4 linked regions of the Diceros bicornis minor genome follow. The protein of the gene in region 1 interacts with the protein of each later gene in a biochemical or structural test. Links are inferred from orthologs where the notes say so. Each region holds a gene or a part of one and is shown in the gene's direction. Other genes may lie near its edges. The genes, in order: APOE, LRP8, MAPT and LDLR.

Region 1 (7,519 bases):
GACAGAGGACTAGACAGAAGTCTCCACATGGCGAGTCCTGCCTGAGGGCAGACCCAGAGCCTTCAGCAGCGGGGAGCCTGGAAGGCGACTTGGAGCAGGAATCTGGCTGGACACACAGTGCCAGGCCCAGAATCCTCAGGGCTCACTAGCTGCAGAGCATCACGCGGGGTCTGGCCCTGGGTGGAGAGCTGGTCTGCCACCAGCGGCCCGGGGAGGAGGGCACTGTCATGTCTCTAGCGGGGAAATAATACACATGTGAACCTGGGGCGCAAGGGTAGAGTCAGGGCTGGGGTCCGGAATCCTGTGTCCCAGTGAGGAGGGGCTGGGGCCAGACTCTTGGGTACAAGGGAAGAGGGGCCTGGGGTCGGAGCCCTGGGTCTGAGGGAGGAGGGACTGGGGGTCTGGAGCCTGGGGTCTCAGGGAGGAGGGGAACCTGGGATCCCAGAGGCCCAAGTCCCCTTGGGAACCTGCCCCACCCCTACCCTCTCTCACAGTGAACAACTGGTTGGTGACGGTCACGCTGGGCCAGGCAGGCAAGCACGCCACCTACTACCACAAAGCCAGTGACCAGGTGAGCTCATCCGACACCGGCTCCAGGACGCACATCCAGGCGGGGGTGGCTGGGGGCTGGAGTGCCCGGGAGCGCAGCCGGGAGGCTGACTCTGCTGCCCGGGCCCCTCAGCTGCAGGTGGGCGTGGAGTTTGAGGCCAGCACAAGGATGCAGGACACCAGTGTCTCCTTCGGGTACCAGCTGGACCTGCCCAAGGCCAACCTGCTCTTCAAAGGTACAGGCCTCAGTCTCCCTCCTGGAGGACGGGCGAGAGGGGACTCAGCTCTAGAGGGTGTGCAGGCCAGAGGAGATGGTACAGGCCTCAGTCTCCTCCTGGAGGACACACGAGAGACGACACGGCTCTAGATGGTGTGTAGGCATAGGAGATGGTGAGAGCGGCGAGCTGGGACTGTTGGGGACCTGCAGACTCCCTGGGACGCTTCTTCAGAAGCTGGGGGCCGGGGCCTGAGCTTCGCACCCGCCATGCTGCTCCCCACCCCGCCAGCAGCCCTCCGCTCTCTGCCCTCGGCCCTCTCTCTCCTTGGTCATGAGTGGACTGCAGCTTGGAGCCCATCCGCCCCACTCGTCTCACATTAGTGGAAACTGAGGCCGCTGGAGGTTGCACAGTCACAGCCAGATCCAGAACCTTCCCCTGGGCTGACTGGCTCTAGTCTTCAGTCTTCAGTCTCTTCTGGGACCTCAGTGGTTCTCAATGTGGGGTGTGTGAAGGCTCCCTGGCTGCTGCCTCAGTCTGCCTGGGCAGGGCTCTGAGGTGGTGTTGAGGTCCTGGGTCTCTGCCTCTGAGGCCTGCCCTGCGGCCTCCTGACCCTGGCTCCGCGCTCAGCCTGGTGTCAGGGGGTTGAGATCCAGGTCGGCTGCTTCTCTGCTCCCGTTAAATGAGTGATCACCCCTTTCCAGGGTGTGGGGACGGCTCCATGCACTCACACATCTGGAAGGCTCTGGGCCCCAGAGGAGATTTCAGTCTCTCATTCGGCAGATTCTGAGCACCTGCTCTGGTCAGCCGTGTGCTGAGGGTGCTAGGGACACCACGGTGACCAGGCCCTGTCCTCACAGGGCGCACAGTGGAGGGGACAGGCCCATTCCCAGAGAGTGATGACTTCGTGTGGACACAGCTGGGCTGGGGGAGCCATGGGGGGTGGAGGGCTTCCTGGAGGGGGAGGTCACTGAGCTGAGAGCTGAGGAGGAAGAGGAATAAGGCCGTTGCTCTCAGGGGCGAGGGACCTGGTGCGGGAACCCTGTCGGAGGTCTGGGAACCGGCAGGCTGGCTGGTGGCATCTGAGGCGGCCTGGTTGCCAGCCCACGGGGACAGGGCGGGCGGCCGGCACCGGCTCTCAGCACCGCCGTCCCCCACAGGCTCCGTGGACAGCAACTGGATCGTGGGCGCCACGCTGGAGAAGAAGCTGCCCCCGCTGCCCCTGACGCTGGCCCTCGGGGCCTTCCTGAACCACCGCAAGAACAAGTTCCAGTGCGGCTTCGGCCTCACCATCGGCTGAGCCCTCCTGCCCGCCTTCCACGCCCTCCTCCTCCAGACCCCTCCCCGCCCCTGCCTCGTGGGGGGGGGACCCAGCCCCCTCCCCGCCCTCCCCTCCCTCCTCGGGGGTCCGGGGGCAGCGCAACGGAGGGGACCCACCGCCCCAGCAGCTGAGGGGGGTCCGGAACCACGGGGGCTCCAGGGTCGGAGCAGCAGGGGCAGCGCGCCCAGGGGGCCGGGATCCGGGAAGGGATTCCAGAATCCGGGAGGACGCGGGATTCTGAGCACCAGGGGCAGAGGCGGCCACAACCTCAGGGAGGTGTCGGGGCGTCGCCGTCCCCCGGAGGTCCCTGTGCCCGGCCCCGAGGGGGCAGCGCGGAGAGGAGCTTCCCCACCCCCGTCCTCCGCCCCGCCCCCTTTCCCTCCCAGCCCCTCGGTAGAAATCATGTTTATAAGTTATGGAAGAACCGGGACATTTTACAGAAAAAAAAAAAAAGAAACAAGAACAAAAAATATACATAAAAAAGCGAAACGGGAGGCCTGGGTTGTCCTGCTCGTGTCTCTGGCCTCTGCCCATTCCGTCCGGCCGATCTTCCCACGGTGGCCGGTAGGGGGCGCTGCAGTGTCGGCGCCCAAAAGCCTGACGCCACCCACAGGGGGTCAAGCCTGGCCGCCGCCGGGACCCAGCTCACAGGGGAATATCCCAGCCCTGGCTCACACGGCCCCTGACTTGTGCCCTGCTGGGGCATCACAGGCCTTCCCTCAGCAGGGGGGCGCGGTCTTTCGGTCCCTTGACCCCAGCTGGACCTGGCCAGAGTGGCTGCACAGGACTTTGTCCCTGGGAGCTGTGGACACAGGGATGACGCTGTCTCTGAGGGCAGGGATGGGGACGATAAGCGGGGACTCCAAGGTCCTTCCAGTTTCCAACACAGACAAGTCATGATGGGGTCTTAAGACTTCTTTCTGATAGGAAGGTCAGAGCTATCAGAAGCTTCTGGAAGAATCCAGGCACCTGGAAAGGCTTCAGAATCAATGACTGTGTCTGAGGGGGAGAAGGGCCTGGGCTCCCGGACTCAGGCCTCTGGGGACTTGCTGGGGTCTGAGGCAGAGGTGGGGAGAGGGGTGGGGGCTGGGTCCCCGTGTCTCAGGCCTCTGAAGGGGAGGACGAGGAGCTGTCGCATTTGCCACCTAGGGCTCAGATGAGCTGACACCCCTGATCCCCTCCAGACAGGGGAACTGAAACCCCGTCTGTCACCCACATGCACGGTCTGGGCGGGAGGTGGCTGGGCAGAGATGACCCCTCATTACCCAGAGGAGCTCCCCCACCCACACTGCCAGCAACTTCTGAGGCCAAAGCAAACAACCTGGGCCCAGCTGGCACTGAGGCTCCCTTTCTGAGAGTAGGCGTTTGGCCTCCCCTGACCCCATGGAATCCGAGGTTCCCACACCCTGGAAGGACCAGGAACAAATCCCAGCTCCTCCAGGTCCTCCTGTGTGGCTTCACCATCCACCTCATCCCTGAACCTCTGTCTGTCATCTGTGAAACAGCTGGGATTCATGTAACAGGGCTGCTGGGAAGGTGACAGCATTGGAGCGCTCTTCGTGGCCACTCACAGCAGTCAGCTCTAATACAGAACCCACTGTGTCCCAGGTCTGTCCTCAGGACTTCCCACGTCCAGTAGCTTGTTTCATCAGCAAACAACTGTGTAAGCGTAGCTAGTTCCTGGTTCTGTGGACCAAGAAACTGGATGTTCAGAGAGGCTAGGTCATTTGCCCAAGGTCACACAGCTGGCAGCCCATATTCAGGCCTGGACCATTTGGTTCCAGAGTCTGCAGTCCTAACTGAGCAACAGGAATGCTTTGTGCCCTGAAAAAGGCACAGTCTGTGGGCTCCTGGAATCCACAATGCTAGGTTTAGGGCGAAATGCTGGCTTTTCATTTTATAAATGGAAAAAGGGGCTCTGAGAGGTTCTTCCCTGTGCCCAAGGTCACAGCCAAAGAGGGAGCTGGGCTTAAAACCCAGGTTGCACTTTCAAAGCCTCTGCTTTTAGCAGATGCTTTTCACTGTCTCCACCCCTCCTGTCCCATTTCTGTCTGGGCCCCCAGCCCCTGCTCTCTGAGACCTCAGGAATCCAAGCCCCCAGCCCCTTCCTTCCTGTGCTCCAGGATTTCCGGCCCCCCGCCCCCTCCTCAAATGTTATTCATCCACAGAAAAAGAGAGGGGCAGGGAATGGGGGTTCTGGGCAGCTGCCAGCTCCTGTCCATTCCATACCCAGCCTCCCAGAATTGGGTGAGATGTCACCTCCCTTCGTGAGGACTGTTGGGGGGGGGTCACAGGGCCTGCGAGCCCCACCTCCTTCCCCCTTCCTGCTGTGCTAAGGGGGGAACAGCCCACCTCGTGACTGGGGGCCGGCCCAGCTGGTCCTAGCTCGGGAGGAGTAGGCGGGGCAGGGGGCAGCCCTTTAATTGGACGAGTCTGGATCCCTGAGTTTTATTCAGCCCCAGCGGAGGCGAAGGACACGGTTCCCCAGGACCGGTGAGAAGCAGAGCGGGGGAGGGGAGGGGGCACAGATTCCAGCTTAGGGCTTCTGTGGGGAACGGGCTTCGGGGAGAGGAGGTGACTGTCCTATGGGACGGGACAGAAGTGGGAGCTGGGGGTGAGGCAAGGGGACCGGAGCTACGGGAGGGGTGGGTCTCAGGGGCTTCCCGCCTTGGCTGGAAGGTGGCGTGGGGGGAGCACCTTGGCCTGTAGGAAGACCCGGATGAGCCATAGCAAAAGCCACAAATTGAGACTGTCATTTATTAAGCGCCTGCTGGGTGCCCCCATCGTCCTCAGATCTCCATTAATTGTAGGCGCAGAGGTGGCGGCGGGGCAGCTAGAGCGTCGATTGAAGGCGCACTTTTAAATGAGGATTAAATTAGCTAATGTATGGAAGATGGCACTTGATGTGAAGTTGGAGCTTAGAATGTGAAGGTAGAACGAGGAATGCGAGGTTGGAATTTAGAAAGCCCTGTTGGGACTCACCGGGAACTCGGGGCAGAGTGAGTGGAATTTGAACCCTGGGAGAGGGGGATGGAATTTGGGAGGCGGAGGCGGACCCGGGGATGGGGAGATAGGAGAAGACAGGAGGGATCTAAATAGACAAGGGAGGGGCCTCGGTAAATGTTTGTGATTGGATTAAGCTGATGCCCATCTGGGGCGGGGGAAAGCCTTTGAAGACCGGGGGCAGCGGGGCTCTGGGTGGGAAGAGTCCTACTGGCTGTTGATTGACAGTGTCTCCCTCCCGCAGATTGACCAATCGCAGACGGCAAGATGAAGGTTCTGTGGGCTGCGTTGGTGGTTACGCTCCTGGCAGGTATGGGGCCGGGGCATGCTCAGGCTCCCTGCCGCTCCCCCTCCCGTCCTCCCGTGGACTCCTTGCCCCCCTTCCGTCCCTGGGTCCCCTCTTCTGCTGGTCTGTCGCCCCCTTGAGGGGAGGCCCAGGTCTGAGGCCTCTTCTGACATTCACTGACTCTGAGCCGCCATTTTCCTCTCTTTGGGCCTCAGTTTCCCCATCCTTAAAACGGGAGTTATCACAGTTTCTAATGCATTGTTGTGAGGCAGGTAATGAGCATTAGATAAGTGTCACTGGGATTATTTTAATACTCCATCACCCCAGCACGGCCCTACGTGAAGCACAGACAGATCCCCTCAATAAATGCATGTCAAGTGATTAAATAGGCCGGGCGTCCCTCCACCCGCTCCTTGCCCACTCGTGCGCTGGAGAAGCGCATGAGCATTTGTGGAGCACCTACTGTATACCAGGTACTGTGTGCCTGGAGCGGGCAAACAGCCCTGATCGCCGGGAACTTGCTCTGCGCAGGATGCGGGGCCGACGTGGAGCCGGGGCCCGAGGTGCAGCCGGGGCCCGAGGTGCAGCTGGGGAAGGAGTGGGCCACGTGGCAGGCCAGCCAGCCCTGGGAGCAGGCCTTGGGCCGCTTCTGGAACTATCTGCGCTGGGTGCAGACGCTGTCCGAGAAGGTGCAGGAGCAGCTGTTGAGCAGCCAGGTCACCGAGGAACTGACGTGAGTGTCCCCCCCTGGCCCCTGACCCTCCTGGTGGGCAGTTCCTTCTGGACTCAGCCCCCACGGGTCTGGGTTTCTTTCTGTCTCTGTTCATTTCTTGCTTCCTTTTTCCATTCGAGGCCCTGGCCTTCCCTCCCTCTGATTCTGCCTCCCTCCATCACGCTAGCTTGGTCGCTCACACTCCTCCCTCCCATCTCTGCTTCTGTCTTGGCCCTTCCTCCTCTCCCGTCTCTCCCTCTCGGGGTCTCTCTGTCCCCATCTTGCCCTCCACCGCCGGGTCTTTCTCCCTCTCCACGCCCACGCTCCGCCCTCTCGGCCCCCAGGGCGCTGATGGACGACACCATGAAGGAGGTGAAGGCGTGCAAGTCGGAGCTGGAGGAGCAGCTGGGCCCCGTGACCGAGGAGACGAAGGCCCGCGTGTCCAAGGAGCTGCAGGCGGCCCAGGCCCGGCTGGGGGCGGACATGGAGGAGGTGCGCAGCCGCTTGGCGCAGTACCGCGGCGAGCTGCAGGCCATGGTGGGCCAGAGCACCGAGGAGCTGCGGGGGCGCCTGAGCGCCCACCTGCGGAAGCTGCGCAAGAGACTGCTCCGCGACGCCGAGGACCTGCAGCGGCGCCTGGCGGTGTACCAGGCCGGGATCCGGGAGGGCGCCGCGCGCAGCGTGAACACGCTCCGCGAGCACCTGGGGCCGCTGGCGGAGCAGGCCGCCACCGTGCACACCCTGGTCAGCAAGCCGCTGCAGGAGCGGGCCGAGGCCTGGGCCCAGCGGCTGCGCGGGCGGCTGGAGAAGGCGGGCTTCCCGGTGGGGGACCGCCTGGACGAGGTGCGTGAGCAGGTGCAGGAGGTGCGGGCCAAGGTGGAGGAGCAGGCCAACCAGGTGCGCCTGCAGGCCGAGGCCTTCCAGGGCCGCCTCAAGAGCTGGTTCGAGCCCCTCGTGCAAGACATGCAGCAAAAGTGGGCCGAGCTGGTGGAGAAGGTGCAGTTGGCCGTGGGCGCCGTGCCCACCTCTGTGCCCAGTGAGAAGCAGTGAGCGCCCTGCCCCCGCTCCTGCGCCACGCCCCCTGCCTCCCCCCCCAGCCTGCAGGAGGCGCCCTCCCTACCCCGGCTGTCCTCCTGGTGGGCCCTGGATTAATAAAGATGCATGGAGCTTTACGGCAGCTGCTGTGTGTGCGTGTCTGATTTCTCACGGCTCAAGCCTCGGCTTCTCTTTCCCGCCCCACAGGGGCCACACAGCTCCGTCTCCTGTCCCCTCTGCCCATGTGTGTCTGCTGCTTTCTCTCACATCTCTCAGTCTCTGCTTCCTTCTGTCCCCGTTCTGAGCCTTCCCTTTTTCCAGTGTCTCTGCTCATTACTCTTCACTCTCGCTTCTCTGCCTCTGTTTCCATTCTGTCTCCAGGAAACAAGTCCTACAAC
Region 2 (7,712 bases), on another chromosome or scaffold:
ACCCTGCACTGTCACTTTCTGCCCCCAGACCAGGGATCCTCAAGGGCAGGAATGGAGTCTTGTTTATCTGTGCCCCTCACCTAGCACAAGGCCAGCCAGAGCAGGCGTGGGGAGGTGTATGCAGAGGGCCCTCTGGCCCTGGCCCTGGCCCTGGCCCTGGTCCTGGTGAGAATTCATACGGTCACACTTCCCTTTAACAAGTCATCACTGGGGACACAGCAAGGACCAGGATGACCCCGTTTCTGACTTGAGGAGCCAACACTGACAGCCCAGTGTGAGCAGAGTGATTGGGACACACAATGTTGTGGGAGCCCAGAGGAGCAGGGAAGACCTCTCTGGAGGAGGCTGGAAGGCTTCCCAGAGGAGGAGGCACTTGAGCTGAGGCCCAAAGGATGAACAGAAGTCAGCCAGTGCAGAAGTGTTCTAGACAGAGGGTATAGCCTGGCAGAGGCCTGAAGCTCCAGTTCTTGGGGAGCAGGATAAGGGGGTAGAGTGTGCATGGGGTGGGCTGCTGAGCCTCTGGTGGCTCTGGAGGTGGGATGTGGGGGCTTGGGTGGGGCAGGGTGCCACGCTGACAGTAGGTGGAATGTCACTTGTTTCTGTCTCATGGGGAATTCATTGCACTTGAGATTGGGTTTGAGGGTTTTCTCTGGAAATCCAGGAGCGGACAAGGCCCATATACTTGAGTCAGCCCAGGATGGAGAGAGAAGACAGGTGAGGACAAGAAGCGATACCAGGCCCTCAGGACCCATTTGGTGTCTGGTGTGTGCTGAGGGCTAGGTTCCCTCCATTTGCCCCTCACTGAAATTAACCAACTTATGCCCTGAAAAATTTCCAGTTCTGCTATCTGGGTTCGAATGCTGGCTCTGTCATTTGCTAGCTGTGTGCCCTCCCCATTCCTTAGTTTGCTCATCTGTAAAATGGGATAAACGTAAGACCTGCCTCGTGGGGATATTGTAAGGACTAAATGAGTTAAAGCATTTAAAGCACTTAAGACAGTTCCTGTCCCCAGCAAGTGTCCAACAAGCATTAGCGATGATTATTACTCGATAAGGTTCCCTTTCAACGGTTTCAAGTATTTACACATCATTTATCTAACGCTTGTTATGTGCCAAGGCTTGTTTTTATCCTCTGGAAACAAGGATGAGGCAGACATAGTCCTCCGAGGGGTGCAGAAACTTTCAGTAAAAGCAGAAACAAACATTGGTCAGATGTGTCCCAGGCCAGGGACCCAGAATGCAGGAGAGCTGGTTGCTGCTCTCAGAGAGTTTGCAGGCTGACTAGGACAAAGGGAAGTGACCCAGCTGGGTGGGGGCTGAGAGGAGCCTGGAGAAGCTCTGATGAGGGTGCTGTCGAGGGACAAGGAGTTGCCCATTTTGGCAACTGGAGTGTGTGAGACATGTGAGCAAAGACCCCCTTTGGAGGGGAGGTCAAGGGATGCCTGGGCTCAATCTTTATTCTTTTTTTTTTTTTTTGGTGAGGAAAATTGGCCCTGAGCTAACATCTGTGCCCACTTCCTCTATTTTTTACATGTGGGACGCCTGCCACAGCATGGCTTGATAAGCAGTGCGTAGGTCTGCGCCCGGGATCCAAACCTGTGAACCTTGGGCCACCTGAGCACGTGAACTTAACCACTACGCCACTGGGCCAGCCCTTCAATCTTTATTCTTGAGGGTTGGGAAGTCATTGGGGTTTTGAATAGGGAATTATGTTTGAACTACACGCTGTGCATACATAATCTCATCTAACATAATCCTCGCAACCCTGTGAGTCCTGTCATCATTCCCATTTTACAGATGAGGGAACTGAGCCACAGAGGTTAAGAGAGTTGCCCAAGGTCACACAGCTAGGAAGGGAAGGAACAGACTCACCCAGAGCCTGTGCTCTTCATCTCCCTACCTTGCTGCCTCTGAACTTCAATCCACACGATAATCTTAAAACTGGAAGGAACCTTGGAAATTCCCTGTCTTCCCCATTTTGCAGATGAGAAACTGAGGCTCAGAAATGGGGACTGACTCTCCTAAGACCACAGAGTGAAGGAGGAGAGGCTGAGCTGGGGGTCAATCTGGGCTGCAGGAGGGGCTCCACAGTCCCAGGCATCCTGCTGTCACAGCGGGCACTGCTGTGCTTGGAACAAAATCCAAACTCCTTGCTGTGTCTACAAAGCCCTCCTGTGATCAGGGCCTCACTGACTCCCTCCGACCTCACCTGGGGCACCCACCCTCTCCTCGTCACCAAGCTCCAGCCCACCTCAAGGCCTCTGCACTGCTATTCCCTCCGCCAGGAATGCCCTTCCACCCGATCTTCACGTGGCTGGGCACTGTCTTCGTCCATTCCCTGCCATAACAAAATGTGACAGACTGGGTGGCTAATAAACAACAAAAATTTAATTCTCACAGTTCTGGAGGCTGGGAAGTCCAGGATTAAGGTGCTGAAAGATCAAGACATGTGAAGATTTGGTGTCTGGTGAGAGCCCACTACCTTGTTCACAGACGGCCATCTTCTCGCTGTGTCTTCACGTGGCAGAACGGGCCCGAGATCTCTCTGGGGCCTCTTTATAAGGGCACTAATCTCAATCATGTCCTAATTGCCTCCCAAAAGTCCCACCTCCAAATACTGTCACATTAGGGATTAGGTTTCAAGATATGAATTTTGGGAGGACACAAACATTCAATCTATATCAGGCTCCTTCTCGCCATTCAGTGAAATGTCACCTCCTCAGAGAGGCCTTCCCTGATCACCTCTCTAAAGTTACCTCTCATCACTCTCCCATCACCCTGTTTTATTTTTCCATAGCAGTTATGAGGATCTGAAATGATCTTGTTTTTAGTGAGGAAGATTAGCCCTGAGCTAACATCTGTTGCCAATCCTCCTCTTTTTGCTGAGGAAGATTGGCCCTGGCTAACATCCGTGCCCATCTTCCTCTACTTTATATGTGGGACGCCTGCCGCAGCATGGCTTGATAAGTGGTGTGTAGGTCCATGCCCGGGATCTGAACCTGCAAACCCCAGGCCGCCAAAGTGGAGTGTGTGAACTTACCCACTACACCACTGGGCCGGCCCTTGAAATGATCTTTTTTGTTTTCTTGCTTTTGTGTCTGTCTCTCCCAACTAAGACGTAAGCTGCAGGAGAGCAAGGAGGGACTGCATCTATTTCTACGTGGTATCCCCAGGCCTCGGACAATGCCTGGCACATAGTAGGTGCTCAGCGAGTTTTTGTTGAAAGTATGCCTGCATTTCACTGTCTGCCTGTTGATGGTGTGTCTCCTGGCCAGTCAGGGACCTCACTGGGGCTGGTAGCAGGTCTGATTTACGTTGGTACTCTAGGCCCACGACAGGGTTGGCACAGAGCAGGGCTGGCCTTGTTGGAGAACCGAATGAACAAAGGATAGAAGGTGGTAATGGCAGGAGCAGCTGCCGCACTCTCTGAGGTCTGCACCTCTCTCCCGTGGGGTGGCCATGGCCATTGTCGAGGGGGCTGCCCTTTGTGGGAAGTAATAGAGCTCAGGAGGCTGCTAATGAGACAGAGTGGCTTCCAGGCCTGGGGCTAACAGCTCCTGAAGCCCCCTTTCCTGCCCCTCTGCCATAGAGGTGAGGGAGCAACAGGGTGGGGGAGAGCTGACCTACACTGGGCCCAGGCACCTGCAAGCCTGCCTCTGTTAGCTGCCAATGCTCTCAAACCTCTTTGTCCAAAAAAGGTTATGTGGGTTGGGCCTCGATTATCAGCAGGCACCTAAAATCTAGTCCCAGGTCTGCCCTCTACACTCTGCACCCTGGCATAAGTGAGGCAGGGCTGCTACCTTCCAGAAGAGGGGGCTTCTCATTCATGCAGAGGCAGCAGAGGTAGCCAGAGGCCCTGGGTGTGTGTCCGCTACTGGCAGGGATGACGAATCCCTTCTGTGGTGCCCCACGGTCCTGCCCTCTCCATCACAGCAAGAACTAACATGTTGTCCCTGCTGGTCCCCTGCTTGTCTGCCCCTCTGCCTGGCCCCGTGGAGAGTACCGAATAAGGATGGGTGAATAAAGTCTGTGGGCCAGGCCCAAGCCACCTGCCTCACATCCTTGGCCGTGGTCACATGAGTGTGTAACATGCACAGATGCACATGGCTGCATTAACCAGCTACACAGATGTGTAATATGGGGTTGTAGCCAGTGAGGGGTGCAGAGGTCCCGCCCTGCTCCCCCACCTTCTCGATCACACACATCCGGGTACCCCAACCCCTATCTATCACCACTCCTGCTCCACGTGCACACTGCACAGGCCTGTGCACCGGGGAACATCATCTCCCCACCCGCCCAGGTTCACTCCTAGGCATCCCTCAGCCTCCTATAAGCCTGTCACCTCCTCCAGGCAGCCTGTGCTGCTTCCTCTGGACTGTCTGCTATCTTTGGGTGGCAGGGGCCTCGCCTGGCTCATCCCAGCGTCTGCGGCGCCCAGCACGCGGGCGGGCCCAGAGCAGGGTCACCAAGCGCCTGCTGAGGAAGGAGAGGACCAAGGACGTGAGGGAGGCAGCAGAGGCGGCGGCGGCGGGAGGGGCGTGGGGCGGAGGCGGCGGCGGGAGGGGCGCGCGCGCTGGCGGCGGCCGCCCAGGGCCGGGGCCGCGCGCCCAGCCTGAGCCCGCCCCGCCGCCGAGCGTCACGGAACCTGCTTGAAATGCAGCCGAGGAGCCGGGGCGGGCGGCAGCGGCGGCGGCGGCGGCGGCGGCGGGGGCAGCGGCAGCCCCGGCGCCGCGGCGAGGACTCGGCGGGCTGAGGCGCGGCGGCGGGGGCGGCACCGGGTGCGTGGGGCGCGGCGGCCGGAGCCCGGGGCCCGCCATGGGCCGCCCCGAGCGGGGCGCGCTCCGGCCGCTGGCGCTGCTGCTGCTGCTGCTGCTGCGGCTCCAGCATCTCGCGGCGGCGGCGGCGGATCCACTGCGCGGCGGCCAAGGTGCGTGCGGCCGGAGCCGCCAACAAAGCGCGGCCCGGGGGCCGAAGGGCAGGGGGCGGGGGGCGGCGAGGCCCCGAGCCCAGGCCTGGTCGGGGCGCCCGGGTGGATAGGCTCCTCGGGACCCAGCCATCTCTTCGTTTGCCCTCGACCCCCCGCGGCTCCTGCGTCGTGGGCTCTGCCCTCCGGCACCTGCTCGCGGGGGATGGGCGCAGTGGGGGCCTGGCCTGCCGGGAACTTTGCGGGGGGTGGTTATTGATGGTTTCGGGTGGGCTGTGTGATTCTCGCCGTTGAGGTTTATTTGACACGCGCGCTCCGCGGCGGCGGTGAGCGGAGCCTAGCGACTTCCCTGCCTGACAATGCGTTTCCGGGGACCCCTGCGTGTCGCCTTGAAAGAGGGGCTGTGTGCGAGGGGGATGTGCCCGCAGCGCCCACTGTGGGTGTCCTGGCGTGTTCGGGGCTCCCTGTGCGCTGTGTCTGCGTGGATCTCTGACTGTGGGCCGAGTGTGCGGGTGAGTGTGTCTGAATGGGAGGTATACCTAAGTCGTGTGACACCGACGGTGTGTGCCTAGTCTCCTACCATGGAGCAGCCCGCCATCCCAGGAACCCCCACCATCCTGCCCTCCTTCCGGATCGAGGGTGCCCGAGGCCCCTGGGGCCCTTGGCTCCAGCATCCCCCCCTTTCCTTCATCCTAGTAGATCCCTCCCCGCGGCCAGGACTGCATGGCCCGCGCGGATCCGGCTCACGCCCGCTCTCCCCCGCGCAGGGCCGGTCAAGGAGTGCGAAGAGAACCAGTTCCGGTGCCGGAACGAGCGCTGCATCCCCTCCGTGTGGAGATGCGACGAGGACGACGACTGCTCGGACAACAGCGACGAGGACGACTGCCGTGAGTGGCCGGCCGGGAGGGAGGGAACGGTGGGGGGCGCCAGGCTCAGTGCGCACGTGGCTGCAGCCGCCGCCGGGCCAGATGCGTGGACCTCATCGCCGGAGCCCGCAGCCAGGAAGCCAACTGGGCGCCGCCTCCCTCGGGGCTGAATGGCTCTTAGCGACACGGCGGGAGCTGGGCGGCCGGCGTGTCCTAATGGGGCTGGAGGCGGAGCGCGGGGCGGCGTGGCCCGGGAGAAGGGCGCGCCACGCCCGGCAGGCAGGGTCGGAACTGTGGGCGGGGACTCGGCGGTCCCTGCACGCGTCTAGCTTTCTGCGGTCGGGCCCTCCGGGACTCCTGCCTCGGCCCCACCGAACGCACGCCTGCTTCAAAGTTCCACGCAGCTCCGGGCCTCGCGGCACTCCTTTCCCTGCTCGGTCTGTGAATGAATGGGCTCCCCGGGGCCCCTGATTGGCTGGACGAGGACCACCCCATAGGCCCCCGTGGCCGGAGCGGCCAATCGTGGAGCGGGCGTGCGTGCAGGTTTCCGGCACCCTGGGCGCAGGGGCCCCGCCCCGGCCGCACCCCCGCGCGCATCCCCCGGGAAGTAGGTGCCGGCGAGGCCCTCTGCTTTTCTGCATAGTCACCGTGAAGACCTTTTTGTGCCACCCTGGTTAGCCGACCGCGCTCTCCTGCCCGCCCTGCTCGGGCATGAGTCATGGGGCAGACCAGGAAGGAGGGGGCCAGGAGGAAGAGTTTGTTTCCTGGAAGGGGCCCCGGGATCCCGAGGCCGCGCGTGAACCCCCGCCCGTGTGCGGGCCGCCTCGGCTGGGTGTGATGTTTGTACACGCGGGTGTGACCGCCTTGGGAGTTCTTTCTTTGGGTGCGCCGTCGTGGATGTCTGTGGGACAGGGTGCAGTTAATGGGCAGTTGTCGCCGTGGAAGGAGTGTAGTTCCAGGAACAGAAAAACAGGACGCAGGCAGTCATTCATTCCTGGTCCCTGAGCGCACGCTGTGTGCCGGGCGCTGGGGCACTTTGGGGAACAGCGCACCTGCAGGCCGGGGAACACAGGGTCTACGGGGGGCGGGGGCAGACCCACAGCTCCACACAGTGCGGGGAGTGGGGCGGGTATCTGGACAGGCATTGTCTGTGGAGTCCTCGAGGTTTTTTTCTGGGTTTGCCAGTCAGCCTCTGGGTTCACTGTCTCAGGCCCAACCGTGAGTGGGCTGTGACTTGGCCACATCCTTCCCTCCCGCCTCAGTCTCCTCACCTGATCGCTAGGCTAGTGATTCCTGCTCTGGTTTTGAGGACCAGTTCTAGTGAGGCGATTGGAAGTAATGACTAATGTGCTGACTGTCAGCTGTGTGCCAGGCCCTGTGGGGAGTGCTTGTCTTATATAAACCCTTCAGTCCTCAGAACGGTCCTGCTGTACAGAAGAAACAAACCGAGGCGCGGGAGATTAAGTCACTTGCCCCGCAGCTATGGAGCTGCGAAGTAGGAGCTTGAATTTCAGCATCTGACTCCAGAGTTCTTAGCCTAATCATGACCCTGACCGTTCCCCAGTGCTACTGGGGTTAGGAAAATGGCTGTCCCAGCGTAGAATATTAAAGCGACTCTCATCACTGGGAGTTGTTCTTCTGTGGTCCCCTCATAGAGTGGGTGCCGAGGATGAGGCAGGGAAATAGAAACTGTGCATTTCTGGGCCAGCCCCGTGGCTTAGCGGTTAAGTGCACACGCTCCGTTACTGGCGGCCCGGGTTCGGATCCCGGGCGCGCCCCAACGCACCGCTTCTCCGGCCATGCTGAGGCCGCATCCCACATACAGCAACTAGAGGGATGTGCAGCTATGACATATAGCTATCTACTGGGGCTTTGGGGGGAAAAAAAAAAAAAGGAGGAGGATTGGCAATAGAGCTGTTAGCT
Region 3 (7,303 bases), on another chromosome or scaffold:
AAGATCAGAGAAGTTAATGATTTTGTCTAAGGTCACGCAAGATGGCTAAGATTAGCCATCTCTTCTGAACCTAATCCAGTTCTGAAACCTAATCCAGTTCTCTCTTCCTATGTCATTCTACCTTCTGTGGTTCTGTACGGTGGGCACGGTGTGCTGAATGTGGCCATGAGATTCCTATTTCAGCAAGAGGGAGGGGCAGGGAGGAAGGGAGGGAATGCATTTTCTTGGCCTGAATTCGTGAGCCTTTACCTACCTACAGTGATTAAATTATCTGGAATGAACACTCAGCTCCACACTACATACAGTTAGATGACAAATCTGCTTAAGATTGTTTCGAGCATTCATTACCTCAATTTAATGTAGGCAAATGTGATCACCCAGCATCAGGGGACCACAGTGTCATCAGGCCCTGTCAGTTCACAATTATCCTATATCTTAAAGGAAAGAAAATGAGAAATTTGAATGGGGGAGTGTTAATTTGACTACTACAGTTTATTCTACATATATAAATAAAATAATGTACAGCAAAAGCATAGGTAATAAAGATGATGATGAAATAACTAACTACTATTTATCATTTCATGAATGCCCATTATTCGTCAGGCACTGTGTAAGAAATTTTACACACACACTGTGTAAGAAACATATATATATATATAAATGAGAATATATATATTCTCATTTACTCCCTCTATCAGTCAGCTTTGCTGTGGTGACAAACTCTCAAAATCTCGGTGATTCACACAATAAATGTCTACTTCTGGCTCATGTGATATGTACTTCCTTGAGTTTTTTCATTCTGGGACCTAGGCAGAAGCAGCAGCCCTATAGGGACATGCCATTCTGGTGGTGGTGGGAAAGAGTAAAAGTGGCAGGAACTCTCAATGCCTCTTAAAGCTTCAGCTCGGACACATTACAAAGACCATTACACAGCCTAACCAAACAACAGCGGGGGAGTGGAGACTGGGAGCAACGCAGGTCTCACCATAAGGGGCAAGGACATACAATCCCCATGCAGGAAAAGGGGAAAGGCAACAACTGGGGACAATAATAACACTTCAGTCCTGCAAGATTGATGTTAATTCCACTCATCTCTCCACTTTGAGAAAGGAGATGAGTAGCTTTGCTAAGCTCCTTCTAGAGGATGGAAATATCCCTTCCAGTTGGGATGATTAGGGGAGGCTTTGGTAAAATTTGAGCTAGAGTTTGAAGGTTAGGTAGGATATTGGTGGGGTGGGGACAGAGCAAGGACTTTTTAGGCAAAGGAAAACCTCAGAGTAGAGATGGGGAAGAGCTGCAAACAAGCTCATTTGGCCAGAGTAGATGAGAGATATACCTGGAGAGGACAGGGGCTCAAGTGATGGGGTGGGGGCTGGGGTGTTTAAGGCTAAGGAGTTTAACTTCACTTAGGCGCCACTTAGATATTTTTGAGCAACAGAGTGTCATGATTAAAATGATTCCTTCTTAAGGTTGATCTCACAAGGAGGTGCAGGGTAGGCTGATACAGGGAGAAACAGAGAGCAGGGAGACTGGTAAGGTCACTACATGTCCAGAACCAAGGTAAGGGTCTTTAGGATGGTGGCAGTTGGAATAACAACAAAAACAAAAAGGTCGATTCCAGAGACTCAGAACCAGTGGCTTAAGAAATCAGTCCCCATCTCTATCATTCACAGAAATAGAACAAAGAATCCTAAAATTTATATGGAACAAAAAAAGACCGCGAATAGCTAAAGGAATCCTGAGAAAAAAGAATAAAGCTGGAGGTATCACACTCCCTGATTTCAAAACATCCTACAAAGCTATAGTAACCAAAACAGCATGGTACTGGCACAAAAACAGACACACAGATCAATGGAATAGAATCGAAAGCCCGGAAATAAACCCACACATCTATGGACAGCTAATCTTTGACAAAGGAGCCAAGAACATACAATGGGGAAAAGAAAGTCTCTTCAACAAATGGTGTTGGGAAAACCGGATAGCCATATGCAAAAAAATGAAAGTAGACCCTTACCTTACACTATACACAAAAATTAACTCCAAATGGATTAAAGACTTGAATGTAAGACCTGAAACTGTGAAACTTCTAGAAGAAAACATAGGCAGTACGCTCTTCAACATCGGTCTTAGCAACATCTTTTCAAACACCACGTCTGACCGGGCAAGAGAAACAATAGAAAAAATAAACAAATGGGACTACATCAAACTAAAAAGCTTCTGCACAGCAAAGGAAACCATCAACAAAATGAAAAGACAACCTAACAATTGGGAGAAGATATTTGCAAACCATACTTCTGATAAGGGCTTAATCTCCAAAATATATAAAGAACTCATGCATCTCAACAACAAAAAAACTACCAACCCAATTAAAAAATGGGCAAAAGACCTGAACAGACATTTTTCCAAAGAAGATATACAGATGGCCAACAGACACATGAAAAGATGTTCAAAATCACTAACTATCAGGGAAATGCAAATCAAAACTACAATGAGACATCACCTCACGTCCGTCAGAATGGCTATACTTAACAAGACAGGAAACAACATGTGTTGGAGAGGATGTGGAGAGAAGGGAACTCTCATACACTGCTGGTGGGAGTGCAAACTGGTGCAGCCACTATGGAAAACAGTATGGAGATTCCTCAAAAAATCAAGGATAGAACTACCATATGATCCAGCTATTCCACTGTTGGGTATTTATCCAAACAACTTGAAAACACCAATTTGTAAAGGTACATGCACCCCTGTGTTCATTGCAGCGTTATTCACAATAGCCAAGACTTGGAAGCAACCTAAGCGCCCATCAAGGGACGAATGGATAAAGAAGATGTGGTATATATACACAATGGAATACTACTCAGCCATAAGAAACGATGAAATCCAGCCATTTGTGACAACATAGATGGACACTGAGGGTATAATGCAAAGTGAAATAAGTCAGAGGGAGAAGGTCAAATACCGTATGATTTCCTTCATTAAGTAGTAGATAATAACAACAATAAACAAACACATAGGGACCGAGATTGGATTGGTGGTTACCAGAGGGGAAGGGGGGAGGGAGGAGGGTGAAAGGGATAATTCGGTACATGTGTGTGGTGATGGCTTGTAATTAGTATTTGGGTGGTGAACATGATGTAATCTATGCAGAAATAGAAGTACAATGATGTACACCTGAAATTTTTACAATGTTATAAACCAATGTTACTGCAATAAACAAAAAATTAAAAAAAAAAAAAACTTCAATACAAGCTCCCATATCGTATTGGGCGACTGAGAGAATGAAGGCCTCTGGTCAGTTTGTCAGAGGTGTGTTAGCCAGGTGAGAATCTCCCCCCCCTCCCCCAGGCACTTAGAAATTCAGATGTCAGGCTCTACTTCCAGTATAACAGTGTTTCAACAAACGAGGTAAAAATAACTGTTTATGTGAAAATGCTTTACAATGTAATAAGCGCCATTTAAATCTTGGTCTAATTTAAGATTTTACTCTAGGGTCACAGTTAGATAAATAGATTCGAATGCTCTTTGTTAAAAAACTGCACTACTGTATTAACAACTGAGTGTTTTAAGTGGATTAGCTAAGGAAAGGATTCTCCTTGGTCAATAACAAAAAAGCTAGAAGGAAAGCAAGTTGAAAGGAAGCAGACCCAGGGAAACTTGATCTCCAACAAGGGGGAACATTTGGGGACTCGGGAGAGTCAGGGTGCCCGGCCAGCGATAAGGAGGGCCAGCCTGGGACTGGCCTTGAGTCCAGGTGGACAGACTGGGGAGCCAGCCATGGCGAAACCCGCTCGGGACCTTTCCGTGATAGGACATCATCCCGGCACGACGGGAATGAAAAGGGTAGCAGATCTGGGAGCGGAAAACCCAGCCTCCTCCCGCCCCCAGAAGCAACCAAGCCACCCTGCCGAGAGAAGACACCCCTCAGACAAAACAAAGGCTCCAGCAGCGGGAGGAGACGTAGAGTGCGCCTGCGCCACGGCTCGCGCGTGCGCGTGGCGGTCAGCGCCCGGCCTGAGGAGTGAGGGGAGGGGAGACCGGGGAAGGGAAGCGCCAAGAGGACCGAGGTAGGAGGCAGGGGAGGGCCGAGCGGTGGGTTGCTCGCGCGCGCCCACTGGTGGCCGGAGGAGAAGACGCCCGCGGAGGCCTCGCTGCCCGCCCCTCCCCTGGGGAGGCTCGCGCTCCCGTTGCTCGCGCCTGCGCGGCCCGCCGGTCTCGGGAGCGCGCCCTCTCGCTGGTGCGCGCGCTCGCAGTCTCCGCCACCCACCAGCTCCGGCACCAGCAGCAGCGCCGCCGCCGCCGCCGCCCACCTTCTGCCGCCGCCACCACAGCCACTTTCTCCTCTGCTTTCCTCTACTGTCGTCGCCCTCTGTCGACTATCAGGTAAGCGCGAGGCTCCGAAATCTGCCTCCCTGTCCGCCCCGCTGCACCCCCATGCCGCCGCCCCTGGCGCCCCGCCGCAGAGATGGGTTTCATGAGGTGGGCATTGGTCGGGGGCAACGGCGGAGGCCCCTCCCTGCGCCCTCTGCGCTCCAGGGTTGGGACTTGGGCTGTTTGGAAAGGGACCCATGCAAGGGATGCACGCACGCGTGTGAGTGTGTGTGTGTGTGTGTGTGCGCGCTGGGGGGGGGGTCCACAGGACCCGCTTCGCGCGGACCCGGGCACAGGCTGTGCCCGCAGGGCGGGGCGCGGATGGCGGTGACCTGGGAGAAGGGGCTTCCATGCACTCTCGGTCGCCGCCTTTTGCCGCAATGGGCGTGTGTCTATGTGTGTGTGTGTGGGGGGGCTCCAATGACGACCCCAGAAGCCGAACCTGTTATCCGATTTCTCTGTCTCGGTTTGCCGTCAGCCCTAAGGAAGGTATGGATTGGGTTCTAGAAAAGATGATTCCCTGCCTGCCCCTCCCTACACCTCCCCGGCAGCAATTCCAACCGGGCTTTCGCTGCCCCTGATTTAAGGCAGTGGCCCACGCCCTCTGCGTTTTCCTCCTTCAGAAACCCGCAGGGGACATTTGGGGGCTGGGACTGGAAGCCGTGAGATGGGGAGGGGTCCGGGCGCTGTCACTTTAGTTGCCCTTCCCCCTGCGCGCGCCTGGCACCGAGATTCGAGCAGCGCCGTGCTCGAGAGAAGGTAGTGCGCGGATCCCAATGTGGAGGCTCGGAAAGGCAGGGGTCACCTGGCCTGGCGATGTGGAAGGACTCGGCAGAGGCCGATCCCGGCTCGCGGGTGCTGACAGCCACAGCCCCGCACAGACCGGCGCGGGGGCTGCAGGTGCATTTCGGGGCGGGCGCCTTTCTCTGCGCTCTGCGCCCTGCGCCCGGCGTCCAGCGTGAGCGCTCCCTGCCGGAGGCGCGGGGCTGGCGCGCAGGGCTCGCCCCTCACTGCGGCAGTGGGTGTGGACCCGGGTGGGCGAGAAGGGGGAGGGTGGGCTGTGCCTCCTCCCACTCCCACCCCCGCTTTTTTCCTCTCTGAACGCGAGGTGCCATCTTTTCGCGGCGTGTCACCTCTTTACGATACCATGCCAAGCCGGGTGGCTGGGCTTCGGAGGACAGGGCGGGGACTGTCATTAAAGGGGGGGGGGCAATCAGCGCTGAAATCTTGGCGTTTTTGCTGCTGCGGGCTTGAGCCCCAGGGGCGTTCACCCAGGATCTTCCTGGGGGTCTCGCTGCTTTGTTTGTCGGGCTTACATGATCCGCGTTGCCAGCCTTGGTTTTTTGGCTTTTCTTCTATGAGGGTGTTTAACCAAGGCCCCCGGTTTTCGCCCCTCATTTCCGAGCCCTTTGTTAGATCTCGGGGCTTGCTGGGGTCGAGGAACTCGAGTCACAGCCCCGGGGGCACGCATGGAACGGGCGTGACCCTGCGCGGCCCCCTCCCGGAGCCAGGCCGCGAGCCGGGAAGCGTCCGCGAGGCCGATGGGGTGGGATTCGAGGTCTGCGCGCGCTGTACGGATGGCCGCAGATGGACGACGCCCCTCCCCACACCCAGAGCTTCCTGGGGGCCACGCCCCACCAGCCTGCGGACCAAGGGTCACCGGCGACCCCTGGGAGGTCGGGGGGTAGCTCGCGCCCCTCTCCGCTTCACGCGCTGTTGCTTCGCCAGTCAGGAGAATGTGAGGAGGGGGCCCGAGGTTTCGTCCGGTGCTGCAGGCCACACCCATTTTTCCCGAGCGGACTGGGAGGGGGGCGCGGAGATGAGGTTGCCATAGAAACCACACGCGTCGGGAGAACGGAGCTAAGGGCGTTGCCCCGCCCCTTCCCGGCAGAGATTGAGAGTCCTGGGGAAGGGGGGGCAGCGCGCCCTCGGCCTCCTGGAGGGAGACCCCCCCCAACCCTGAGTCTGTTGGTCTTCCTAATTGCCTTTCGGCGGCCGCAGCCACCCGGATAGGCGTTCCTCGTGTATTTTTATTATTGTGGCCGAATATTATTTTAGAAACGTGCGGAATTTTCACTAAAGGGCCCGAGTTCACCAACGCCCTTGAAACCGGTGGGGAGGGGGCAGTGCGGGGGGTTCGGGTACCGACCCCTGACCAACAAGTCCGAGCATCGCCCTCCTGCGATGAGCCGGTCCGTGCGGCTTTCTGGTTAATTCTATCGCTGAAAACTGGTGCGAGGGCGCAGCTCTGAGAGGGATGAGCATTTTAGGGGCCGAACCATCCACGCGAGCGGCGCCGATTGAGCTGAAGGAATGGCGCGGCTCGGGATCGAGAGGCCGCCTGGGGCCAGGCCGAACCTCCCCGGCTGTGGCGTCGGGGGTCGAGCCGCGGTGCTGCGAGGCCTTCCTGCAGAGCGCGGCCCGCCGCGCGTGGGTTGCAGGAGAGCCTCAAGGATCGATTCGAGTATCTTCCCCGCTCTCCATCGCCCCTCCATAGAGCGGAGCGCAGGATTCCGGTTTCAGACAGAGCGAGGGTCTCGGAGCGGCGCTGGGGACGGGAGCTCGCGGTGACCGCGGCCTGGGGCGGACCGCGCGCGGGCGGAGAGGTCCCCGCCTGTCAGTTGCGGGACAGGGAGCGAGGCGGGGGCGAGCGCATTTAGCCCAGTGCCGGGAACAAAGCGCGGTCCAGGCGTCCGCGATTTCGCTTGGTTTTGAAATGTATTGGCGGTTTGTTGGGGTTCTCGGGTCGGCTAGACCTGGGGGCTGTTAATGGAGGAATCCTGGGGGCCAGAGGATGGTACTTCGTACGCGGATCGGGAAACTCCATCCCTGGCTCTGCGCGAGCTTTAACTAAATAGCTTCCCCCCAGGATGTGGAGGGATGCAGCGTTGGCGCCCGTGCTCCGACGATGGAGCTCTGAGCCTGCCGCCGCGCC
Region 4 (7,008 bases), on another chromosome or scaffold:
TCTCCCACCACCATTTGTTGTAATGACTGTGCATTCCCCATTGAATGGCCTGGGCACCCCTGCAAAAATCATTTGACCGTATATGCGAGGGCTTATTTCTGGGTTCTCTATTCTGTTCCTTTGGTTTATATGTCTTTCTTTATGCCAACACCACAATGTTTTGATTACCGTAGCTCTGTTGTAAGTTTTGAAATCACGAAGTATGAGACCTCCAACTTTGGTCTTTTTAAGATTATTTTGGTTATTCAGGGTCTCGTGAGAATCCATATGAATTGTAGCGTGGATTTTTCTTTTTCTGCCAATAAAAAACATCATTGAGATTTTGATAGAGATTGCATTGAATCTGTAGATTGCTTTGGGTAGTATTGACATCTTAACAATATTAAGCCATGAACAGAAATAAAACCTATTTATTTGTGTCTTTAATTTCTTTCAGCAACATTTTTTAGTTTTCAGTGTACAAGCCTTTCACCTTCTTGGTTAAATTTATTTCTAAGTATTTTACTCTTTTTGTTGCTATTGTAAATGGAATTGTTTTCTTAACTTCTTTTCAGGATTGTTCTTTGCTAGTGTACGAAATGCAACTGTTTTTTGTGTCTTGATTTTATATCCTGCAATGTTGCTGAATTCGCTTATTAGTTCCAACAGTTTTTTGTGTGTATGTGGACTCTTTAGGGTTTTCTACATATAAAACTTCTTTTCTATTTCTTCCTTTCCAACTTGGATGCCTTTTATTTCTTTTTCTTGCCTAATTACACTGTCTAGAACTTCCAATTGAATAGAAGTGATGAAAGTGGGCATCCTTGCCTTGTTCCTCATCAAGGCTTTTTACTTTTGAACCACGGGAATGTTTCGACTCTTCATACTAAACGAAAATATACTTTTTCTCGAGTACCTTTCCACTTCTCACACTAAATGCAGCCTCTGAATTCTCAGGCACTGCATGGGCCCATTGTTTATAGAAGATCCTGCCCTGTTCTCTCTCCTGGAGTCCTGGAGCACAAGGTCGTACCTTGGTCAGTTTTGAGTCTCCCCCGACCACCGACTCAAGGCTTTCTCTGTGTCCCCAGTACAGGTTTGCTTTCGAGTCTGGTGTTCTGTCTGAAAGGAAGGACTGGCAGCCCAGGACAAAATTTGAGTTCCTAATCATCAAAATCCCAATGCAAGTAGAACTCAGGAAGGGTGCATCTCTGCTGTTGTTGCAGCCACTCCAACAAGAATTTCTTTCTTTTCATTTACTCATTTTACCTTTACTGCAGGCAGGCAGGGGAGGTACAAGCCATGGACTCTGCCCTCACGTGGCTTATGGGGGTTTTATGGAGATGATTGATGGGGACGGGGTCAAGGCAGGTCCCTAATGGAACCTACTGGAAGGCACCATGGCTCACGCAGTTATTCACTCTCTCTGCTGCCTGCTGGCCCACAGGCCAGACTGCAGCTGCCATGGCTCCCCTCTGCCAAAAGGCCGGACTCCTTTGGCTGAAGACCTACTCTGGTCTGAGCCTTCTGGTGAACTAATGAGCCAAAACCCACGACAGGTGGGCTGTCTATTAGAATGAGGAAAACGCTTACCCTGGGTTGTCGCAGATGACTTTGCCAGCCCAGGATCTTCCAAATGAAGTGGCTTCCATGGAAGGATTATTTTTAAGTGCCTCTGAGGCAGAAGGTCTTCCTTGAGGGAAGAAAAAAAAAAAAAATAGATGCAGTTGCAACACGAACACAGCCAAAAAAAAAAAAAACAAAAGCAAACTCCATATTTGGTGCTTATGTGCCAAGCACGGTTCTAATCACTATATACAGACAGCCCTCATTTTATTGCTTTTCACAGATAATGCGTTTTTTACAAGACCCTCCACCAGCAGAAAGATTACTACTCGCTGAAGGCTCTGGTGATGTTTAGCATTTTTTAGCAATAAAGTATTTTTTAATTAAGGTATGTACATTATTTCTTTAGACATAATACTATTGCACACTTAGACTACAGGATAGCGTAAACATAACTTCTGTATGCACCAAGAAACCACAAAATTTGTGTGACTCGCTTTATTGCGATATGCATTTTGTTGCTGTGGTCTGGAAGGGAACCCACCACATCGCCGAGGGATGACTGTATATATATTAATTTACTTAATCCTCACGACAACCCTGTGAGCTAGTTACGGAAGAGGAAATGGAGGCTCCAAGAAGCAGACTAGAGAAATTACACAGCGTGACCCCCATTCTCAGAGCAACACGTGACCAGGTCCATTCGTGGCAGGGACAGAAGGGGCCTTGAGATTTCCAAAGGAAGGTTCAAGGCGGAGATGGGGAGAGCTGTCCTGGAGACCTTGCTTGGGCTCAGGCCTTGGCACCCGAGGAATGTTCTTTCCAGGCCTTTTGTGGCCCTTTTCCAGGTCTGCCCTTACATCAGTGTTGAACTAGCTCTGGAAACATGCTAAACTAAGTTCCTTCCTGGAAGAAAACCTCTTCCCGTTAACCCTTTCCAGGCCCGTTGGGGAGAAAAGGCCTCCCACCACCAGATACAGAAAGTTGAGCTCACAACAGAAACCGAGCTTGCCAGGTCTTGTAATTTTTCTGAAGGGCAATCAAACCCAGTGCTCTTACAGACATAAAAAGAAAAAAAATGTGGCGTTCGGTATAAGGAATGGAATGCGATGGTGACACATTTGTAAATGTCGTAACAACTCGGAGAACTTGCCCATCCTTGTAAATTTCTCCAGGTGGTTGCTAACTATGTCCTCTGACCCTGACACTGAACCTGCCAAGTAAGGGAAGCAGGCTTATCTTCTCTGAAGGCTGACTGACTGCCCTAGGTCTGTCCAATTCCCCAGTTTGTAAGACCCCAGAGAAATTCCTGGGGGAACCCTCCAAGTCTGCCAGACTTTTTGTGGGGTTCAGACAAGATCCCCACATGTGCTCTTTTGGCAAGGGGGCTCTGGCAGGCAACCTCATGAATCCCAAAACAGACTCTCTAGGGGCTGGCTTGGTGGCGTAGTGGTTAAGTTCGTGCGCTCCACTGTGGCGGCCCGGGGTTCGCAGGTTTGGATCCCGGGAACAGACCTACACAGTGCTCATCAAGCCATGCTGTTGCGGCATCCCATATAAAATAGAGGAAGATGGGCACAGATGTTAGCTCAGGGCCAATCTTCCTCAGCAAAAAAAAAAAAAAAAACTAGACTCTCTGATTCTTGAAAGCTGCTCTCCATCAGCCCTCCGGGGCTCAGGCAGTCAAGTTCAACTCTGAAAGCCCTCGTTTTGTTTGAATTTTACTTTGGGGAGAGGAAGCTGCCCTTCTGTTTATGCAACTCCTTCTCCTAAAAGAATACATCAATATTTACGTCCAGACTCCAGGTATCAGGTCACTTAACTTTAAAAATATTTTGGCTCATATGTCAAGCCTGGATCCCAAGAAACAAAATCAGTTTTTGGCTGTACTTTTGAAGATTTTTCTTAAATGCCTCGTTGATTAGTTTATATGGCGATTTGGAAGAACCACCTAAAAACTATGTACAACTAAACTCAGTTAAAATCTATCTGCAATTCCTAGAAAGGAAAAAGCTGGTAGAGAAAGGAGAGGGAGACATTTTCCAAGATTTGTACTTTTTCCTTTCGAGGCAGAGGGGAGATGTCGTTAACCAATTAGACCATTTGGAAGGACAGATGGTTATCAACAATCTTCTTTGGGTACCAAAGGGAAATGTGGCAATTAAAAGTTAAGACAAATTAAAGAGACATCTTTCAGGAGGCTCATCTCCAATTTGGGGGGGGGCTCAGCTCTTCCGGGCTACCAAACCAATGACAAATCAAGCGGCCTGCCCTGGAGAGGCTTTGGAAAGGGCTGGAATGCAAGTCAGGGTTTCAGGGGTTAAGAAGCCCATGTAACATCAGCCGTTCGAAACTCCTCCTCTCCAAACTCCTCCTCCGGCAGTGAGGCGAAGATATTTGAAAATCACCCCACTGCAAACTCCTCCCCCGCGAGAAACCTCACATTGAAATGCCGCAAATGACTGGGGCCCCGCGTGCAGTCGCTGCCGGGCCGCGCGAAGCCCGGGTTTCCAGGGCCGACACAGCTGACAGGGGCCGGGGCCGGGGCGCTGCTGGCGGAGGCTGGGACCATGAGACTCGCGGGCTGGGGGCTGCGCTGGGCCATCGCCCTGCTGCTCGCCGCGGCGGGGGCTGCAGGTAAGGCTGGCTCCAGGCGCCCGCGCGGGGTGCGGATGAGCCTCCCGAACTCGGGGAGCCCTTTGGTAATTTTTTTGGGGGGTAGAGCGAAAAATAACTCCATCTTTGGGAGGCTTGTGGGAAAATGGCACGAAGTCCTTCGCCAAGGGCGAAGCCGCGTGGGGGAGCGCGGAGGGGGGCGCGGGGCTTGGGGGGATCTGGAGCAGTCAGGGGAATCGGGGTGTGGCTTCCCCCCCGGGTTTCTCCCTTGTCTTCCTCAGAGCGGGGGTACCGGCATCTCCAGCTCTGGGGAAGGAGGGACCCCCTTCTAGAGCCATTCTAGGGGCGAGGGTGACCCGAAGCCCGGCTGCTCAGCCTGGAGGTCCCTGCGGGCGCTCCCCCGCGCGCGTCCACGGGCAGGGGTCACCGCTGCGGCCAAGCGGGCTTTGTGCCGCTCAAGGGCGCCGCCGGCTCCCGGAGCCGGTCGCCGCGCATCCTCCCCTCGCCCCTCATGCGCGCTTCTGCCCAAAGCCGCCGCCCCAGCCCCGCCCCCAGCCCGCGGCCCCGCCCCCTGGCTCCTATTGGGCGCGATTCGAACAGGCGAGCCTCGAGCCACTCCCCTTGGCCAATGGGAGGCGGCGACTGCGGAGGCGCGCGCGGCGTGGGCGGGGCTTGCGCACGAGTGGGGCGGGGCTGGCGCAGGGCTCGCTCCACACCTCGTTCTCGGTGAGGCGACGACGGCGATGCCTCGCGTCCGTCCCGGGCTCCTGCCACAACAGGGCGACACGTCCCGGGCCCCTGGTGTCGCCTCCGCGAGCGTGGATGAGGCGCCCGCCGAGCGCCCGGGTGCCCCCGGTTTCCTCCCGGATCTGTCACAAGGCCTTCGTCGCCATTTAGTCCTCGGGGCCGCCCTCGCCCTGCCCGCCCGGGTCAAGTTCACGGAGGTGTCCCCAGGCCACCCTCAGGGCCCCGGTTCCTTCCGAGGCGGAATGTTGCTTCGGAAACACTCGCCCCTCCTCGGTCGGACGCGAAGGGCACTTGGCGGAGACCGTCAGCTGGGGGGCGACAGCGACACCGGACAGACGCCTCAGGGTTGCGTTGTTTGTTCAGAGGCTCCCAGCGGGTCCTGAGGACTTTTCATTTTAGGGAGATTCAGATTGAGGTTCGGGCAAGAGGCGAGTTGGTGCGCGATCCTGAGTAATCCGGTGGCTGTAAGTGAGCTGCCAGAGGCATGTGACCTCGCCCTGGAAAATAGATAAATGGTCCTTTTCCTGCTCAGAGCCAGCCCAGCCGGGCATTGGCTGCTCAACAGAATGGCAGGAAGCCTTTTTCATTGGCAGGGAGGTGGCTTTGAATTCGGAATCCGACCCTGTGACACATCCGCTTCCGCTGGGAGGGGAGGAAGGGAGGTGGCAGCCCCACAGAGCAGATTATTGTAAGAATTCGGCCACCCAGGTGTGTGAAGCCGGAGGAGAGAGGCTTGCTCAAGAGACACTGGGTTAACCTGTATTTCACACTGTTGGACTCCTTCCCTAAGAGACAATAATGGCAGCGAAGTCTTGAGCAAGATGAGTGGCTTACTTTAGTTTCCTCTCTCACTGGGTGGCTGAGGATCTGATGGATCTTCGGTTCTCAAGGAGGCTTTCAGTTCTGATGTGCTCCCCAGACCGCGGAGAGCTGGCATCTACGTCTCTCCACTGGGGTGAAAACCCTGTTGTGTATTTGTCGCAGCCCTGGCTGCTCCGGCTTGCTCCTTAGCTGTCTTCAAAGCATTTGCGGGAAAAGGATTTCATGTCCGTTTCCTTTGGCAATAGAAGTAGCTGGGCGCTGAACTGTGTGCCTTCACTTAGCCAGATCAAAAGCAGTTAATGTTGTGCGTGGGGTATCGAGTGTGCCAAGGGCACACCCAAACTCAGAGAAAGGAGAGCCTGCTGCTAAGAGCTGTGTCTGCTTTGGCAACATGCCCCAGGGGATTCACTGGTCATTACAGAGTGTACTTTGTTCCAGGACAACATTGGCCAAAGACAGGGAGAACTTTTTTGAGACTGCAAATCTTCAAGGAGCATTACGTGCCTTATTCTAGTTAGTTCTGCTCAGATCTGTGGGGTTCCTCCCCTGATAAGATCTAATTCTAGATGCCTTTGTTGTTCTTCACATTACACATTAAGTACATTAATAGCATCCCCACTTTGCCTGGCTGTCAAGCAAGTGACCGTTTGTTGCTAAGACACTGTGGAAGTAACAGCCGTGAACAGTGACAGAAACAGGCTACCCCTCCCCAAAGGAGCTGGCAGCAAAATCTACCATTCGAGACCACTCCTGGGGAAAATACCTTGACGTCACCTAGTTTGGAAAAAAGCGCTGGTAAATTGATTTCTCATCATTTTCAGCTGAGTCTGGTAACGCCAGCCGTTTCTTTTTGCAAGGAAACATTCCACCTACCATTCGATTTCCCTGTACAGCGAGTATCTTCAGTAGCATGGGAAAGAAAACATCGACAGCATTTACCACCTCATTTGTGTGCTGACGAAAAAGCAGAAATGTGTATTCTCCTTTTCTGTTTCGATAACCTTGTTCGTGATCTGTCACCCGTGGCAAGAGAGATCTAAGGGCTACAGTTTAGAGGGTTTTTTTGGGGGGGGGCATGCACTGCTTAGGTAATTTTAGGCATCCTCAGGATGAGGAGATATGGGAGCCCTGTTCCAGTTTGCTTTTGCTGAAATTCAAATGAAACTGACATGGCAAAGCCAAACCTTGCTTCTGCAATGGGGAGGAAATAACAATGTCCAGTTTCCTGGGGCTGTGGTGTTGAAACAGGGCTAGTTCTGTCCGCTTGCTCAGGACGGT

The links.
Region 2: the proteins of APOE (region 1) and LRP8 form a complex in vitro, tested with the Homo sapiens proteins (2 studies listed by BioGRID). The link is inferred for Diceros bicornis minor from reciprocal best matches to the Homo sapiens genes APOE and LRP8.
Region 3: the proteins of APOE (region 1) and MAPT form a complex in vitro, tested with the Homo sapiens proteins (2 studies listed by BioGRID, with this or other methods). The link is inferred for Diceros bicornis minor from reciprocal best matches to the Homo sapiens genes APOE and MAPT.
Region 4: the proteins of APOE (region 1) and LDLR interact in a biophysical measurement, tested with the Homo sapiens proteins (2 studies listed by IntAct). The link is inferred for Diceros bicornis minor from reciprocal best matches to the Homo sapiens genes APOE and LDLR.

Annotation. Positions count from the first base shown.
Region 1 is NC_080773.1:19,265,564-19,273,082, forward strand, and holds APOE (apolipoprotein E), read left to right. Parts: upstream 1-4,516; 5' UTR 4,517-4,578; intron 4,579-4,914; exon of another isoform or gene 4,915-5,084; intron 5,085-5,332; 5' UTR 5,333-5,355; coding exon 5,356-5,398; intron 5,399-5,905; coding exon 5,906-6,107; intron 6,108-6,430; coding exon 6,431-7,136; 3' UTR 7,137-7,263; downstream 7,264-7,519. UniProt on the Homo sapiens protein: APOE is an apolipoprotein, a protein associating with lipid particles, that mainly functions in lipoprotein-mediated lipid transport between organs via the plasma and interstitial fluids.
Region 2 is NC_080752.1:15,652,449-15,660,160, reverse strand, and holds the start of LRP8 (low-density lipoprotein receptor-related protein 8), read left to right. Parts: upstream 1-4,693; 5' UTR 4,694-4,814; coding exon 4,815-4,926; intron 4,927-5,690; coding exon 5,691-5,810; intron 5,811-7,712. UniProt on the Homo sapiens protein: Cell surface receptor for Reelin (RELN) and apolipoprotein E (apoE)-containing ligands. LRP8 participates in transmitting the extracellular Reelin signal to intracellular signaling processes, by binding to DAB1 on its cytoplasmic tail.
Region 3 is NC_080757.1:44,467,246-44,474,548, forward strand, and holds the start of MAPT (microtubule-associated protein tau), read left to right. Parts: upstream 1-4,286; 5' UTR 4,287-4,380; intron 4,381-7,303. UniProt on the Homo sapiens protein: Promotes microtubule assembly and stability, and might be involved in the establishment and maintenance of neuronal polarity.
Region 4 is NC_080769.1:8,291,970-8,298,977, reverse strand, and holds the start of LDLR (low-density lipoprotein receptor), read left to right. Parts: upstream 1-4,007; 5' UTR 4,008-4,115; coding exon 4,116-4,182; intron 4,183-7,008.